Linked DNA regions of Kluyveromyces lactis. The protein of the gene in region 4 interacts with the protein of the main gene of each other region in a pairwise test. Links are inferred from orthologs where the notes say so. Each region holds a gene or a part of one and is shown on either strand. Other genes may lie near its edges.

What was found.
Region 1: the proteins of SPC19 (region 4) and KLLA0_C01650g interact in a two-hybrid assay, tested with the Saccharomyces cerevisiae proteins (2 studies listed by BioGRID). The link is inferred for Kluyveromyces lactis from reciprocal best matches to the Saccharomyces cerevisiae genes SPC19 and GIN4.
Region 2: the proteins of SPC19 (region 4) and END3 interact in a two-hybrid assay, tested with the Saccharomyces cerevisiae proteins (2 studies listed by BioGRID). The link is inferred for Kluyveromyces lactis from reciprocal best matches to the Saccharomyces cerevisiae genes SPC19 and END3.
Region 3: the proteins of SPC19 (region 4) and COY1 interact in a two-hybrid assay, tested with the Saccharomyces cerevisiae proteins (2 studies listed by BioGRID). The link is inferred for Kluyveromyces lactis from reciprocal best matches to the Saccharomyces cerevisiae genes SPC19 and COY1.
Region 5: the proteins of SPC19 (region 4) and NUM1 interact in a two-hybrid assay, tested with the Saccharomyces cerevisiae proteins (2 studies listed by BioGRID). The link is inferred for Kluyveromyces lactis from reciprocal best matches to the Saccharomyces cerevisiae genes SPC19 and NUM1.

The regions. Positions count from the first base shown.
Region 1 is NC_006039.1:126,652-130,919, reverse strand, and holds the start of KLLA0_C01650g (uncharacterized protein), read right to left. Parts: upstream 2,802-4,268; coding exon 1-2,801. Other genes in the region: SUMO family protein SMT3, read right to left, coding at 3,697-3,978. UniProt on the Saccharomyces cerevisiae protein: Serine/threonine-protein kinase which regulates the localization and the function of the septins during mitosis. Phosphorylates SHS1.
Region 2 is NC_006039.1:982,984-985,773, forward strand, and holds END3 (End3p), read left to right. Parts: upstream 1-1,133; coding exon 1,134-2,276; downstream 2,277-2,790. Other genes in the region: AXL2 (Axl2p), read right to left, coding at 1-23; chaperonin-containing T-complex subunit CCT2, read right to left, coding at 2,427-2,790. UniProt on the Saccharomyces cerevisiae protein: Component of the PAN1 actin cytoskeleton-regulatory complex required for the internalization of endosomes during actin-coupled endocytosis. The complex links the site of endocytosis to the cell membrane-associated actin cytoskeleton.
Region 3 is NC_006037.1:577,588-581,329, reverse strand, and holds COY1 (CCAAT displacement transcription factor COY1), read left to right. Parts: upstream 1-1,272; coding exon 1,273-3,240; downstream 3,241-3,742. Other genes in the region: SWI3 (Swi3p), read left to right, coding at 1-933; KLLA0_A06336g (60S ribosomal protein uL22), read right to left, coding at 3,480-3,725. UniProt on the Saccharomyces cerevisiae protein: May be involved in intra-Golgi transport.
Region 4 is NC_006040.1:1,585,064-1,587,362, forward strand, and holds SPC19 (Spc19p), read left to right. Parts: upstream 1-1,329; coding exon 1,330-1,791; downstream 1,792-2,299. Other genes in the region: KLLA0_D18799g (uncharacterized protein), read right to left, coding at 1-984; RAV2 (Rav2p), read right to left, coding at 1,826-2,299. UniProt on the Saccharomyces cerevisiae protein: Component of the DASH complex that connects microtubules with kinetochores and couples microtubule depolymerisation to chromosome movement; it is involved in retrieving kinetochores to the spindle poles before their re-orientation on the spindle in early mitosis and allows microtubule depolymerization to pull chromosomes apart and resist detachment during anaphase.
Region 5 is NC_006040.1:1,402,707-1,407,026, forward strand, and holds part of NUM1 (Num1p), read left to right. Parts: coding exon 1-4,320. UniProt on the Saccharomyces cerevisiae protein: Controls nuclear migration. NUM1 specifically controls the interaction of the bud neck cytoskeleton with the pre-divisional G2 nucleus. Functions in dynein-anchoring.

The DNA.
Region 1 (4,268 bases), on a different chromosome or scaffold from region 4:
ATTGTTTTGTGGGGCTTTTGTGTCTGATCGTTTGGCTGGTAAATGCCAAGCCCTAATGCTCCATTCTCGTCGGCTACGTCATGAGATACCTGCAATGGAGGTAACGACGGCAAGTTAATATCCTTATCATTAGTACTTTGTTTTCTGGCATCAGTAGATTCCTTTCTGGCGGCAGAAGCTAGTTTTCCTTCCTCTGTTTCTGGTACTTCGAACAGCTTAGAATTTTCATCAAGCTCTTCAACGGTCTCAAACATGAATTCTGGTTCCTGTGCAACCTTGGATGATGAGTATTCAGGTTGGCCAGGTAGAGGTTCAAGATAATTATCGTTCTTCAAATGATCCACAAGGTTCGTGAATGAAGTCTTAGTTGAATACAGTGACAATACAGAAAATCTTTTGTTAGAGGAAGAGAAATGTTTTGACCTCCTTGTAAATTGTGGAACTTTGACTTCTGAGAGCTTTCTGGGTTCAACTTCGTCATCTCTGAGAGTTGCAACTGCTTTAGCATTCTTGGGTAACTTTTGAACCTCGTACTTTGCAGTCTGTTCAGAGTACTTTCTCAATTGTTCTTGTCTCTCTTTAGATACTAAATCCTTTTGGGCTTTCTCTAATTCAACGTTCAAGTTAAATTGCGATCCAAGGAATTTGGAGCGTCTAATGGTTTCCAGAATAGTCTTTTCCTTTGACGCTTGGTCATCTTCTAGGTTAGCTGACAGTCTACTTTCAGCAGCTATGATACCAGGGTCAAGTCTGGAAACTGGTCTCGTTTGTAGAGAGAAGTTTCTTGTATTGATTAGTTCATTGATGTCATTCTTTATACCGAATGTACTATCTCTTTTGTTTGCAGTTCTATCGGTCTCTATCGGAGCAGAGACAGATCTTCCATTGGCTGTGTTTCTTTCATCCGAGCTCCCCTGAACAGCTTCATATTCCGCCTTGAGCTTAGCAATTTCGTCTTCCATTTGGTCTTGCAATTCCTTCTGTCTTTCAGCTCGCTTTCGTTCTTCTCTTTCAAGTCTTTCTTGCTCCTCCCGCTCGATCCTTTCCCGTTCCTTTCTTTCAGCTTCCTCCTTCTCACGAGCTTCGTTGACTTTTCTTTCCAACTCTTCCTTCTCTTTCCGTATTTGTTCGTATTTCTCATGCTCGAAAATCTGATCCATCAATGTAGCAAAGTCCTGACTTGTCCTTTTCGTTTCCTTTTCGATGTATTCCCATTCACTGTCTTCGGAAAGTTTTGCATACGTTGCAATCAGTTTCGTTGTTATAGATCCACGCTTCATATTAGGCAGTAGAGAGAATCTTTTGGATTGTCTCTTTGATTGTCTTTTGTAGTCACGAAGCATTTCTTTAGGGACGGGTGGAGCTGCACTATCGTTTATCCTGGAAACTCTTTTATGAGCAGCAGGGGTTGGAGAAGACGAATTGGAGACTAGCTGTGAAATTCTCTTGTTTGAAGGGAAAGTCTTACTCAAACGTTTACCTATTGAGCCGTTTTTCACTGGTGAGCTATGTTGGCTACTCAGTTTTTGCATTGATACAGGTCTTTTGTGAGAAGATGAGGCAACTATGATTGATGTTCTTTTCTTCTTTGGAGTGGTGACTGGGGAATCAGATTTATTAGGAGATGGTAAAGATCCAACGTACATCAGCGAATTCGAAGAGACAGATTGTTTCTTTTGTAATTCTTGTTGCTTCAATTGATCTTGGTAATTATCGTGTTTAAATCTATGCAGTAAAGCGTAAAAAGTCTTTTCTAAATTAGCACCAGGTTCCATCAACTTCGTAATAATGTCTTCCTTATTTCTACCATGCCATAGAACAACCAAATTCTGCAAAATAGTTTCATCTACGCATTGATTTCCTCCTTCTAATGATAGTGGATTCAAATAGGTATCTTCTCGAGGTAAGTTTCTAATGGATTTAGAGTCCTTAATGCTTGGGTATTTTCTTAGAAGTGGATGCTTTAGGATCTCTCTTGTCTTGATTCTTTGTTCTGGATCTACTGTTAAGATTCTGGCGATTAAATCTTGGGCTTCCGATGATATTTCATCATCTCCAGGCATTTCAAATTTCCCACTTTGAACCTTTAACAAGAGATTTCTGATATTGCCATCTTCTTCATCAAATGGCAACCTACCGGTCAGTAAAGCGTAAAGAATAACACCACATGACCAAACATCGGATTCAAAACCGTGATATGGCAAGCCCGAGACAATTTCGGGTGCCGCGTAATGAGGCGAACCACAACTAGTTTCCAGTAATTTATCTTTTGATTCTAGTGCTGCCATACCGAAATCGGCTAGTTTGACATTGAATTTATGGTCTAATAAAAGATTTTCAGGCTTCAAATCACGATGAACTATACCTAACGCATGGCAGTAAGAAATACCGATAATTATCTGTCTGAAAAATCTGACTGCCTCATTCTCAGGTAATGGGCCCCTTTCCACCAACAAGTTGAATAACTCACCTTTTTCAACGTACTCTAAAACCATATATAAATCTTTTGAAGTTTCCCAAACATCGTATAATCTCAAGACATTAGGATGATTCAACAACTTCATAATGATAATTTCACGTTCAATACCATAGGGTAAGACATCAGGATCGTTACCACCAATCATTGTCGACCCTTGAGCGTTGAATATTGATTTTGATATAATTTTCACAGCGGCTTGTTGTCCTTTAGTTTCATTATAGGCCATTACGACTTTACCTGTTGAGCCAACACCCAGTGTCGAGCCCAACTTCCACGGGCCAATTGTGTCACCCTTTAACGTCGTTATTCCGTTACCGTTCATTTCTGATATATTGTGATAGTATTGGCCAAGCTACAAGTTATAATGTTCCCCAGTCGCGTAAAGGTTTGAATGATAATTTCTTATGAGAATGAATGTGGTGTAATATATCGTTTTTATCAGAGTGAGATTCGCTTGCCTAGATAAATAACTCTCTATGTCTGATATCTGGTACCGTCTAGTGAATTCAATTGGTCGTGGTTGAAGATGGTTGAAGTGAATTGAAATTATTTTTTTCACGATAACTTTTATGGTTTAATCTACTTCCAGTTTTATGTGATGAGCCTTGTCTCAATTTCTCAGTATTTCCCTCAGGTACAATTTTCACCAAAGAAAAACACAATTAAACTTCACGTCTTGGTATATATGTATGCCAAATAACAATGGAAGAAAAAACCTACCAAATTCAAAACGAGTGTGGCAGAAAACTATTAACAAGACAGCTAATATTTCTTCCACTTCTGGTAAATTATTCTTTCTAAAATCATTTACTGTAACAGTTATACTAATTGAAAAGAATGTTCACCATACTAGGAAGGAAAATGACTTGAAAAAAAAAAGACCTAAAAACGCGAAACTTGAAGCAAACCTAGCTTTTCGAATCGAAATAGGAATACAAGGGTGGTAATTTGCAGGAGGTCTGTTATAAGCCCTGCCATTTGATACCCAATCTCTTTTTTCTTTCCATTCGGATTTCATTTCTAATTCCATACCGACTGTTTTCCCTGGGGAAATGCAGATAAGCTTGCGGGCACTTTTCTTGTTGTTCATCCAAAGTAGTTTTAATATTCCAGATACATAGTCAGTTATTATAACATTAGATAGGTTACATTGAAAGATAAAAAAGGATGGGAATGCTGTAGTTGATCCCACTTACTGCTGCAAAGTACACTCCCAATTACAAACTACCACCAATTTGCTCTCTGTGAGCTTCAATGATATCGTTATCTTCCATGTCCAAATCTTCAGGGGTCTGATCTGGTAACACACGCACACCGTCGTAAAGGAATCTTAGGGATTCAATCTCTTTACCTTGTCTCTTAGCAAATGCCTCCATTAATCTTTTTAATGGAGTGGTCTTTTTGATCTTGAAGAAGATCTCACTGGATCCATCCGAAACCTTCAAGTTAATATGTGTTTCTGGCTTAACATCCACCTTTTGTTCTTGTTCTTCTGACATTTCAAACTGTGGTTATATATATAGGCGTTGAAGAATGGAGAAACAGGATTCAATGAATGTTTAAAGACTCGCTTTTTCTTCTTCTAACTCTCGGCAGTATAGATTGAGCTTTTGTTTGTTAAGGTAATTTGTATTGTTGAACTAATTCCTGGCCAAAAAAAAAAAATACTGTAGTCCTGAAATTCGACTGTCAACTGACATGGAAAAGAGCTCTAACAAAAAGCAGTTTCCTTCTTCCTTTTGAGAGCATGAAAATGAGAAGTTAGGGGAGGGAAGGGTAACGACCCACA
Region 2 (2,790 bases), on a different chromosome or scaffold from region 4:
GACAACAGCAACTCAGTCTTCATAACCCTAAACCCTGTATAATGAACTAATTTCCGTTCGTGTAATTTCTCTTATTCCAAATTAAAAACTAAAGTCCAGTTGAACAACTATGAGTAAACTTAGTTCCAATTTTCCTTGTATGCGTTTCTTGAGCTCTTAATTCTCTCTCTGCTATTGCTTTCAGATGAAGGCTGTCAAGGAGTGAATGAATGGATCAATGAACAACGTAGCGATCGGACAGTTAGTGCTGCTCCTTCTATCTCAAAAGTTAATGGATAGTATAACGTAAAAGCGTTACTGGATTGCAGAACCGTTAAGATGAGGAAGAAACGAATGGGCCCTGAGAATACATCTTGTTTTATTTAAGGCGGGAGCCCTCATCTCGTGAAATATATGAATATTAATTGAAAGACACCAAAAATATCACAGTTGCAAGACAGGAAAAACCATTATTATATTTTGGTATTACTTCTCAGTAAACTAACGGGCCAGTTGGAAACAATCGAAATCCTCTACAACCCTGTCTTAGCTTTTTTCATCTCACATTCTACTTCTGGTCCCCCAAATTCTCACCTACCTCAAAGTTCTGAAGATTCACTTATAATTCTTCTTTTGGCATCCTTAAAACATTTCGCGATTTCTCTAAATGTGTTACCAAAATAGGATATAACGCGAACACCGGGTAAACCAGTAGCATCCACCAAAAAGATATAAAAAAAACAGATACAAATTCTTGTCACGTGAGGGGTTGTTTGACTATTATTCAAGGTCACGTGTGTTACGTATAACGTGACTTCCCCTTTTTGTAATGTAGGTCAATGGAATTTTGATTTTCTTTCAGCACTGAAATGGGTGATATTACTGTTAAGATCAATACGATGAACTATCCAAAAGGTTTAAATTGCAATTTATTGAAGTAGATAAGGTTCCAAACGATTCAAACCGAAGAACACGCTAGAGCGATAGCAGGTATAACATATTCTTGTTTTATTTGTTCCTGTCTCTTTGACTGATTGTGAGTAACGCAGGCATACTTCAAAGAAAACATTACGTTTGAGCTCAGTGTTAATTTGATATCTGACCTCTATTTTAATCGCGCTTGACTCCACAGATAATTCAAATACCAATTTAAGATGCCAAAGCTTGAACAATTTGAGATCAAAAAGTATTGGCAAATTTTCTCCGGATTGAAACCGGTGGAAAATAAGTTGACCCATGATCAAGTACTGCCTATCCTTTTCAATTCTAAATTGGACACCTCGATACTTAACAAAATATGGTTTTTGGCCGATATCGATGATGATGATCAACTAGATTTTGAAGAGTTTGTGATTTGTATGAGAATGATATTTGACATGGTTAATAAAAACATAGATTCTGTACCAGATGAATTGCCAGATTGGTTGATTCCCGGTTCAAAAGCCGAATTAGTCAAACAAAGAAAAACTGAACGTAGTAGCGGAACAGCAGAAACAAGTTCTGTGGTCAATGTTCCGACATCTTCGCCAGCTGTAGACGATTATCAAAAAGAAGTTGATTGGTATATATCAAGAGATGATAAGTCACAATACGAATCAATTTATGAATCAGCCATAACCTCTAGAGACAATAGTGTATCTTATGTTTCACTATCCTCCGCCGTTAGATCGAAGTATATCAATCTATCATCTCAAGATTTAGAAAAAACGTGGCGTTTGGTTAATCCTAAGCTTGACACTTCCATAGATAAGGATCCAGCACTATACTTTATTCATATTCTGAGACAAGTGAACGACTATGCTTGCCCAATACCATCACATTTACCTTCAGCATTGAAAGAAACTTTTACAAAGACTAGAGTTTCCACGGATTTGTCTTCCAAGCAGAGCGAAGTAAGAAGGCCAACACTATCCACATCTAACTCTTCATCTTACCAAATACCAAAACGTGGTGGTACTGATTTTTCTGTTACTCAGGGAACTGATTGGGAAGTAGTCAGACTTCAAAGGGAATTGGCAAATATTGACTCTGAATTATCGTCAGCACAGCAACAATCCACCTCTCATAATGACTCAAATGATAGAATGAAATTAGTAAAACAACAGTTAGAACAGTTCTTGGAATACCAAAAAAACCTTGTCAATAATTCCAATACTTCTTCAGAAAGCGTTGATGTTGGAGGTTTGAGGGATGATATAGAGAGTATTGAGCAGCAAGTACAAATGTTGGAGGAGTACCTGAAAACAAAGAAGTCGGAACTGCATAATTTGAAGATAGAGGTGCAATCTCTTTACTGAGGTTATTGACCTACCCTATATACTTTCTGGAGTAAATTTTGAACTACGTTGTTTCATGTATAATGATAATTCACTTCTTAGCTTAACTTTTTGGATATTAGAACGAAATTTAAACGTTTGTGGTGATTGCTTAGTACTAATTTAATTAATTTACATATGACCGTGCTGTCTATCGGCTGTTCTTGGTTTAGCCCTGATAATATTATCCACTCTCAAGAGGACTTCGGCTGCTTCGCTGGCTGAGGTTACTACAGCTCTTTTCAATTTATAACTTTCCACGATCCCTAGTTCTCTCATGTCAGCAATGGTGCCGTTATCCAAATCCAAACCTGATGTACTCATGCCGTTGTAAATCGAAGATCTTAACTTTGTGATCAATTCACTACTATCGAAACCAGCGTTGTCCGCAAGAATAGTAGGCAATTGTCTTAGGGCTTTTGCAAAAGATTCTACAGCAAGTGCTTTCTTACCTTCAACATTTTGCCCTACTGTGTCAACAGCTTTTGACATAATC
Region 3 (3,742 bases), on a different chromosome or scaffold from region 4:
GAAGAACAAACAGAGGAATCAAAAGAAGAACAAAAAGAAGAAATAAAAACTGACGCCAGGGAAATTGAGCATACAGAAACGGGAGCTGAAAAATCTGAACCTGCAAATTCAAATGCCGCAGATCACTCCACAGCAACTGAAGGAACTGCTCCAGCAGCAGAACAAGTAGCAAATTCAGATGTAACTGTTGACACTTCAAATGAGAAAAATGCAAATACACCAGAGAATGAAGAAAAAGAAGCAACAGAAGTAAGAGCTGAAAAAACAGGAGAAGAAGGGCTACAAAAAGCGGAAGAAAAGAATAAAGAGGAAGGTAGTCAAGAAGAAGCGATTCCAGTGGAAGAACCTCATCAAGAAGAATCTTTAGAGAATGAAGCATTATCAAACAAGGAAACACCATCGGAAAAACAAGAGCTGCCAGAAGAACAAGCAGTAACGGTCACAAATGCTGAATCTGATGCTAGAATAACAGTGAAGGACGGCACAGAAGTCGCTCTAGCTACCTTGGGGCTACGCTCTCATGTATTCGCTACCAACCAAGAAAAATTGATGAATAGGACGACAAATGATTTAATCAATACTCAACTAACAAAAGTCGATTTGAAGTTGAAGGCTCTTGATACCATGGAAAAATCCTTGGAACTAGAGCGCAAGGCTGTGCATAGGAAGCAAGAAGATGTTTTCATTCAAAGGCTAAGCTTCACCAAGTATGCCAACTCTCTTATGGGAAAATTTGAATCTTTACTGAAGCAAATTCCGGAATCTCCAGAAATCAAACAGCAATTACACGAATTACGTACCATAATTGCTGATCCACCAAAGACAAGTATCACATCCCAATCGGGTAATCTACAAGATTCTGATGATCTAGACTCCGCCAACAAACCAATATCGATTGAGTCACCGCAGTTATATCGTTATTGGTCAGGTTAATAATATAGACAATATTCATGTATTATATAGCCTCGTAACATTATATTAATTTAAACTATTGAAACAACACAAAAAGTCAAGCCTCTCCTTGTCCAAATGCAACATCTTCGTTGGAGTAAATCCTACTTGTTTTTTCCTTTGTACCTTGTCTTCAGGAATTATGTCCGTATGCTATATTGTCTTTAAAATATGAAAATATTGGAAACCTTCAAAAAAAATAGCTTTAACTAAACACGAATACGATATTTAATATTCCCAATATCAGAACAATTGAATGATACTGGTATTCGTTGTAAAGGTCGGATTTGCATTATTAAGGACCCAGTAACAAGTTCTGCGATGAATTTGTCTACATATGAGCATGCGTTGTCATTGTGGAAAGAAGCTGGCTTCAGCAGTATACAATCGTTACTTGATGATAGCATAGCTAAGATAAAGGATTTAGAAACTTCATCCTTGGAATCAAGAAAAACGTTAGCCAGTGAGACCAAGAAGTACAAGAAATTGCCAGATGATGAGAAACCTAGCCAATCTTTGAAATTAGTGAAAGAATACCAGAAGGAGATTGATTCGTTGACTACCAGATCAACGTTCTCCGAAAAGGTTGTTATCGAATTATATGAGAAGTTAATTGAACAACCGGACCCAACAGGGATCCTAGAGTCTATTGTAGAGGAACTGAAGAAAGATGGCACAAATGTCGATGATATCAAAGCTGAAAACCAAAAATTGGCGGCAATTGTTAGCAAGTGTGCCGATTATGACACTTTAAAGAAAAGATTATCGGATCTTGAACAAAATTCGGCTAAGACATTATCCAATAGATTAATCGCCAAAGAGAAAGAAATTACATCCAAATGGGAAGAAAAGCAACGTAATTGGAATAATAGAGAGGACGAATTATTGAAACAGTTAGAAACGTTGAAAAATACCAATAGCATCTTGGAAAAGAAAATAGGTGCTCAGGTCGATTTGGAGCAACAAGAAGATGGCGATGATGACACCGTTCTCGTTAGTGGAAAGAATAGCGCTCAAAGTGAGCTTCTGGTACAAGAACTTGAGGCTGCACAAATTCGTATCATGAGTCTTGAATCACGTAATGAAGAATTAAATTCTGAGGTAACCAAATTGAAGAGCGATGAACAACAGGATTCCATATTTCAAGAGAAAGAGACTAAATTGAACCAATTGGAAAGTGAAAATGCTAAATTGGTTACATGTTTAGAAGAAGAACGCAAGAGTTTGAAGGAAACATCCCAAACGTTGAGCTCACAATTGAAATCATCTGCACTTGAAACGCAGACTTATAAATCGGAATTAGAGACATTGAGACGCAAGTTAACGAACTACTCAGATTATGAAAAAATAAAGCAAGAATTGAATGCCATGAAGAAGATTGAATTCGGAACCAGTGATGACAGTGACAACGAAAACGATGATGGTGATGACTCTATCACCAGTTCATTGAAACATGCGAACCAAAAACTCCAAAATAATTTGGTGAAGGCCAATACTGAAAAGAACAAATATATGAACGAAACCCAAACGCTCAAGAAAAGCATAGAAGCTTTATATTCTAAGATTCAAAATCTAGAAACTTTGAATGCGAAATTAGAAGCAGACATTGAGAAGGTCGAAGATGTAACGAACCAATTCTCCGATACACAATCAATGATGTCAGGGGCAACAAGGCAAATAAGTAATAGACATGCCACTAACGAAAAACTATCTCCTACAAGCTCAATCATTGGAATACCAGAAGAAAAAGAACTAGATACCTTCTCCGGCAATTTTAACGGCTCTCCATCTATCCTACCAATTGTCACCAAACAGAGAGACAGATTCCGCTCAAGAAATCTAGAGCTTGAAAGGCAAATAAAGCATTGTAACCAAGAACAGACGAAACTTAAGGTACAAGTGAAGGAATTAAAGGCCGATAATTCCAAATTGTACGAGAAGGCAAAGCTACTAAGTTCGTATTCGAACAATTCCGCAGTGCGCAATACAGTAGATTTGGAATCTCCATTTTCCGAAGAATATGAGGAGTCATTACATCCATTATCTAGTTTCAAAGAAAGAGAGCTAGAAAGATACGAACGACGTAAGATGCCACCCTTGGAAAGACTATTCTTGAGTTTTGCAAAAGTTATTCTAGCGAACAAACAGACAAGAATGCTATTCATGTTGTATTGCCTTGGATTACATGGATTGGTGATGGTGATGACTATATATGTCACAAGTTTCACCAACTACATAACTCCAGACGTTAGCTCCTCATCAGGTAGTATGATTAACACCAATCAGTGAGATACAGTGGTCATTCTTTTTTGTATAATTTCCGTTTATAGTTAATTATGAAAACAGGTAAATCGTTCACAGGAATGTCTCCTGGACTGGCAAATACCTTACAATGAATTAGGTGAAGTATTCTTTTGGGAACGTATGTTGACTGATTAAATTAGTATACTCAGAGGTTTGTGTAAAAAATTACTTAAATGTTATGATATTTATTTGAGAAAATGTTTGGATGGGAAGATCCAGGAAATTTAAGCAGTGATTCTCTTTTGAGTAGCCAATCTACCTCTTTGTCTGGAGGACAATCTAGCAACCTTCTTTTCAGAAGCCTTTTCAACAGCTTCTTCCTTTTCAGTAACGACCAATTCGATGTGAGATGGAGAAGATTCGTATTTGTTAATTCTACCGTGAGCTCTGAAGGTTCTTCTTCTTTGCTTTGGAGCTTGGTTAACTTGAATGTGAGAGACGTACAATCTGGTAGCGTCTAAACCCTTAGCCTGTGGAAATGATTAAT
Region 4 (2,299 bases):
CTTTGATAGATATTCAAGCTTTGTAATATAATTAACGATGAAATTGTCAATCGATTTCAACTTTTCATATTCCAACTTTTCAAGTGTTAGATCTGTCACTAAGGTCTTGATGATATTAATCAAATTCGGACTTGTTCCGATAGAATTGTTTATAAATATTCCACTCAATATTTCCGTTTCAGACCCCAATACAGCATCTTCGAGGTCAAGATTATTTACATCTCCGAACATGGCGGCTTCGAACGCAGCTTTTTGAGCAGTTGTTATCGTGACCATTGGGTCTGGAATCCCATTGTTTGCAGGTGTACTCCTGAAATCTCGTTTATTTGATACTAGTAGTTTATCGTTTTCGCCAATCAACGGTATCACTGAAATGTCCTCCACTAATGCACTTATTTTACGATGTTCAAGCTTTGTGTCTATATCCGTCCCTAAATCTATCACATCCCCCACTTTGATTTCAACATCAGTTTGACCGATCCTACTACCATTCACGAAAGTACCATTAGATGATTTCAGATCACGTATACATATTTTACCAGTTTTAGCATCACACGATAACGATGCATGGTTTCTTGAAAGCACTCTAGAATCAAAATTTCCATTATCAGCTTTCACCTGTGGATCAGCTTTGCCGGAAAGTCCTCCGTTACTTCCAGAATTTGAAGCTCCAATGACAGGTCGTCCCAATTTTAGTCCACTGGGCTTGAATGGAACTACTAAGAATTTAGTCTCAAATGTGTTGTTCAACGATTTTAGAACCAAAACATGTGTGTATTTGTTTCTGGCCTGTGTTCTCTCATCTTCAGCGGAAGTCAGTTTATTAAGAGCGTCATTACTTGAATTCAAACAGTTGTCATTCGAAGAACCGTTGCTGCTTGAGTTGGAACGAGCTCTTCTTCCTTTTGTTTTTGATGTGCTTGTGTTATCGTTACTCTGGTTTGCTGAAAGAGGATCCAATCGACTTCCTTGTTTCTCAGTCATATTCACTGCTTATAAGAACCCAATTAAACCATATGCAAAAAAAGGTAGTGCAAAGTGCAAGTTCTTATTCGGCTTCTGATTCACTTCAATGGAGAGACTGCCTCGTAGCAAATACTGCTGAAGCTGCTTTACCACTTCTGTGAAGATAATACTAAAATCATGAAACTGAGAAAAGAATGGACTTAATTTCAATCACAATTATTTTAATTCACCACATAGAAAAGAGGTAAACAAACATTACGCAACATACACATGAAAACACAACACTTCACATAGATCGGCAGGATTGTAATTGGATAACGCACTGTGATAATTTGGCATTGTTATTTGAGCTGATTTGACACAATGGAAGAGGTACTTTCGGAGGGTGTAGATGCTTTAGCAGCATGTGTCGATGACATGGCGAAATGTTTAACCGTATCTAAGGTCACTACAGATAGAAGCACTAAACTTGCTATAAATATGCTACAAACTAAGAGGGTATTCCAGTTGGTATCAGAATATGATGTGCAGAGGGCCAGACTTGATTTGATGGAGGATATAGAACCATTGTTACAAAAACTATATAGTAAACTGGAAAAAGCTCTAACCAAATTGGAAAGGGAGCGGGCCACTCTATCACAAACATTCGAATTGAATAAACTACGATTCAACAATCAAGAAAGTAACCCCATCATAGATAATGTGAAATCGGATCCAGTTGTAATAGTATCCTCGACACATGAAGAATTGGAACGTCTCAAAGACTTAAAGAATCGTAAAGAAGAACTGATACAAAGAATACAGGAATTGCATGAAGAGAGATAAATAAGCATACGCCGACTCTCTATCTATCGCATTGTTAACTTAAATTTTGAATATTTACAAAGTGATTGCTGATTTTGTTTTCAAGCCCGTTCAACTTTGCACTGACACTAATCAATGTAGGATCGCTGGTGGTAATTGAAACTTTCTCGCATTCAGTGACAACTCGCCCGTTAAATGTCACACACCTAGCCAATAGATCGCTTGCTTGCGGAAGAGTGATTCTTTCAGTTGCTGAAAAACTGGATATCAAATTGTTTATCATAGATGTTTGTTCAACTTGCAAGCCTTCTTCCTTAAGGATCTCTGCGATTTTTCCATTTCTGTCTTGCTTCAGCCTGTCTCTGACTTTATCACTGAATGATAACCCAGTTTTCGAATCGATCTCACTCCAGGGTTTTTTAATGACTTTTGTCAAATTCCTAATGTCCAAGCAAATCTCGTTTTTGAATAGCACTAATTCCATATTGACCAAATGATGTGCTGATTCACAAATGTCATGAGATTCAGA
Region 5 (4,320 bases), about 180 kb from region 4:
AAAAGTTAGTTCATAAGGGCAGTGATAAAACAATGTTACTCGAATCTATTAAGAATTTTGGATTTGTTCCAGTCACTGCGCCAGATTTCAATTCCTTTAAACAAAAGTCAATCGACAATGTTGACATCGACCAATTAACTAACAGATTGGAAACATTGGGTTACGTTGCAGTTTCAAAAGAAGGATACTCAAAATTAATGGCTCCCGTTATAGATAAAGTAACTAAAGATGAAACTTTTAAACTCTGTGACAAATACAATCTAAAGCCTGTTGCTGCTGAAGCATACCAGAAATTACAGGAAAGCTCGAAAGTTGCACTACTTTCAGAGGATGAATTGATTAAGAAAGTCAAGGAACATGGTCATGTGGTCTTAGATAGTAAGTCTTACGAAGATTTGATAAACAAATCAAACAATCCACAACTAAAAGATTTATCCAGACACCTCTCAACCTATAAAATGGTTCCCGTACAGCTGAACGAATATGAAAATCTAATGGCTATGAAAGACTCTCCCTCATTGACGTTTTTGAAGGAGAAGGCTAAACTTCATCATCAAACTATGTTACCATTCGATGAACTGGAGGGCTTGAAATCGAAATTAGAGCACCCATCTAGAGAATATTTAGAAAACATGGCTGGAACTCTTGGACTCGCCCTGTTACCAATTGAATCTATTGAAGAGCTCAAGACCTCATATGAAAATCCTTCTATTGCACACTTATCAAATAGGGCAAGCAATATTGGCAAACGTTTGATCGATCAACAGAAATATGACAATTTGCAAAGAAAAACAAACGAACCTACGGTGAAAGAAGTGGAACAACTGGCTGCTAGAATTGAATGCAAGGTTCTACCAACTGTCGAGTACGAAGAGCTACAGCTCGCAATCAATAACCCTTCAATCAAAAGATCAAAGGAGGTTTGCGACATCAATGGGTATAGCGTAGTTCCCACGAAAAAGTTCAATGAACTTCAACTTAACTTGACTAGTCCATCTTTAGAATTCTTGCAAGAAAAAGCGCAGCAACACAAACAAGTTTTACTACCGATTGAAGAACATAATAAGTTACAAATGTCAGCAGTTACTGACGAGCAGGGTTTACAGAGAAGTGCGAGAAGTCTCGGACTTGTAGTTGTTCCGGAAGCTGATTATGATTCTTTGTCCAATCCTTCCCTGCACATCCTACAAAAGCAAATAACAGAAAAAGGTCATGTGGTACTTGATGCTGAGACCTACAAAAGTCTCAATTCCTCAAATGTTGATTCAATTTCCAAACAGGAGGTGATAGGTCTGTGTTCAAAGTTCGATTTGATTCCTCTACCTGAAAAACACTATAAGGAGTTAACAGTTCCTTCGATAGAGAAAGTAAAACAGCTAGTCGAACCATTAGCGCTAACTGTTATTGACCGTGAGGAATTGGCTTTCTTGAAGACCCAAGTTGATAATCCATCTGAAGAATCAGTTGTAGCGACCGCGCCAAAATACGGGTACAAGCTCCTGGGTGACAAGGAATATGAGAATTTACAAAACGAGGCCAAAAAACTCTCTTCTCTCACCAAAATTGATATTGAAAAACTTGCAGCGAAATTGGGTCTTGTTGTTCTTAGTGAAGAATCATACGATGCTCTTATTGAAAAACTGAAAAAAGAGGTTGAAGTTTCTTCAATGTCACCAAGATCGAAAGTCGCAGCAAGCAAGCTATATTTCGAAAATGTTATCAAGAAAGAGAATTCAAATAAAGAGGTGGTATTAGAATCAGGAAAGTTATTAGGATTTGTAAGACTTTCAAACGATGAGTACAAAAGGCTTCTCGAGAATCAACAAAAGCACGAATTAACAAAGACGGATATTTATAATGGGGCAAAAGCCTTTGATCTCACTGTTCTTCCCTCCGAAGAATATAATAACTTATTACAAAGAAAGGCGCATAGTGATAATATTACATATGACGATTTACAGTTGTATGCTTCACGTTTTGCTTTGAAGTTGGTCCCTGTTAATTTCACAGATGAAGAACTCGAGAAACATAATAATCAACGTGTCGGCGATTATGGCTCTAGGCCTGCATTAAATCTCCATCCCTCTGTGAACCATTCCACTGTTAGTTTCAATTCTGTAAGCACAGGTGACACTGATTATTATGATGCGCTACAAAGTAGCAGCTCCTTCAACCTCAGAAACAGCCCTTCGAAGTCAAGCATGCATACATCTTCCACTCATTATACCGATGCCAATGATTTCCTTGGTTCTGATAATGATAATGTTTCACTGGCATCAACGATAAAAGATAATGAACCGACATTGGAGGACTTGCAAAGACATGCAGAAGTTTTAGGTTACAACCTTATTGAAAAGGATATCGATTGTCATCAAAATCATTACTCTACATCATTGACACCTGAAGATTTGACAAAGGATATCATTTACTCTGCTGCACCGCAATTCGGATTATCTGTGGTGCCAACTGAGGAATTTATAGAGATGGAGAAACTTATCACTTCAGAGAGGTTAACACCAGATTCTATTCGTGAGAGTGCGAAGAAGTATGGCTTAATAGTTTTAACTGAAGCTGAACATTCTCAACTTGTTAAAAAATCTACTCAATTGATCGCGCCAGCTCCAATAATCTCAACAGAAACAATTAAACAGAAAGCTAGAGAACATGGCCTCGTACCAGTAGCAACAAATGACTACCTGAAGCTTATCAAACCTGATAGTGCTGATGATATCAAGGAAAAAGCGTCAAAGCTGGGTATTGTCACATTAGCCGAAGAAGACTACAAGGAAATTAAAAAGCCTTTGACTCGCGAGCTACTGGAAGCAAGGGCCAAAGAACTAGAACTCGTCACGCTACCAGTTTTAGAATACAGTGCCCTCAAAAAACCGTTGACAGTTACAGACATAAAACAGAAATGTGAAGATTGGGGTTTAGTTCCTATAGAAAAAGACATATATGAAGACCTTTTGAACAAGTTCAACGATGACTCTGTCAGTGAATGGGCGAAAGAACATGGGAAAGTTATTGTCTCGAAAGACGAATATGACCATCTGTTGGAAGTCGAGGATCAAGCGGCTTCTGTTGCAATGACTAGGGATGAGTTGATAGAAAGAGCCCATGAGCTCAACATTATACCGATTGATGCTGACAAATTTGAAGAAATACAACGCGAATTAGCTTCCTCCGGCAGAAACAGTATGACGGAGGACGACGTTGTTTTGAAAGCTAAAGAATTAGGATTTGTGCCTATCCCAGTGTCCCAGTATGATCCAAATACCGCGATTGGTATTTCTAAAGACGATCTCATGATACGCGCACGAGATCTTGGTCTTGTTCCCATTCCTATTGAGCAGTTTGAACAGATTAAGAAAGAATTGGAGACGCCAACCTTGACCAGGGAACAAATAGTTGAGCATGCCGCTGATTTCAATTTGATAGCTTTAGATTTAACGGAGTACAAACGTTTGAAGAAGGGTTCGTATTTGATGGATAACGACAATGACACTGATTCTGAAGAAGATGAAGAGGAAGAAGAAGACGCAGAGGTCGTTGACTCTGAGATAAAACAATTAAACAAAGCTGCTAAGAGATTTGGCTTACTATGTATTCCAGAAAGCGCATTTGTCGCCACATCCAATGCAAATACTCCAGATGTCCATAATGTTGTTGTGTTGCCGATCAAATATTATAATTCTCTATTACATCAAGAGTCTGAAAATTGGGCGAAGATTACTGATGAGAATTTGCAAGCGGAAGCCAAGAAGCGTGGTTTCCAAGTTGTCGTTAATTTGAGAAAGGACTTTGGCGATGGCTTTACTCAGGGGCATAGAAGAAATTCTTCATTGGCGACTCGGTCTGTCATTTCAGAGGATGCTAGAAGATCCATGTCAGAAGCTGCTGCTAATGCTGCAATGAGCGAAATGGAGCAACAGACCAGATCCAGAGCCCCATCAAGATCTTCTTCAATCAAACGTCCGTCGCCTTCACTTCAAACTAATCAAGCATCACTGCTTACACACAGCGAGTCTATGGCTACTGGTTTATCTTTAGCTACAATGGCGTCCCTCAGCGCTCCAAGTATCATCCCAGCATTGACCCAAACTATGATTGGTGAATACTTGCACAAGTACTATCGTCGTTTAGGTGGATCTCTGTTCCAATCTTCACGTCATGAAAGATACTTCTGGGTTCATCCTTACACTTTAACCTTGTATTGGTCTACGTCCAATCCTGTGCTTGAGAACCCAGGGAACAACAAAACCAGAGCGGCAGCTATTATGGGTGTAGAGAGCGTCGACGATCCATGTCCTTTCCCCGCTG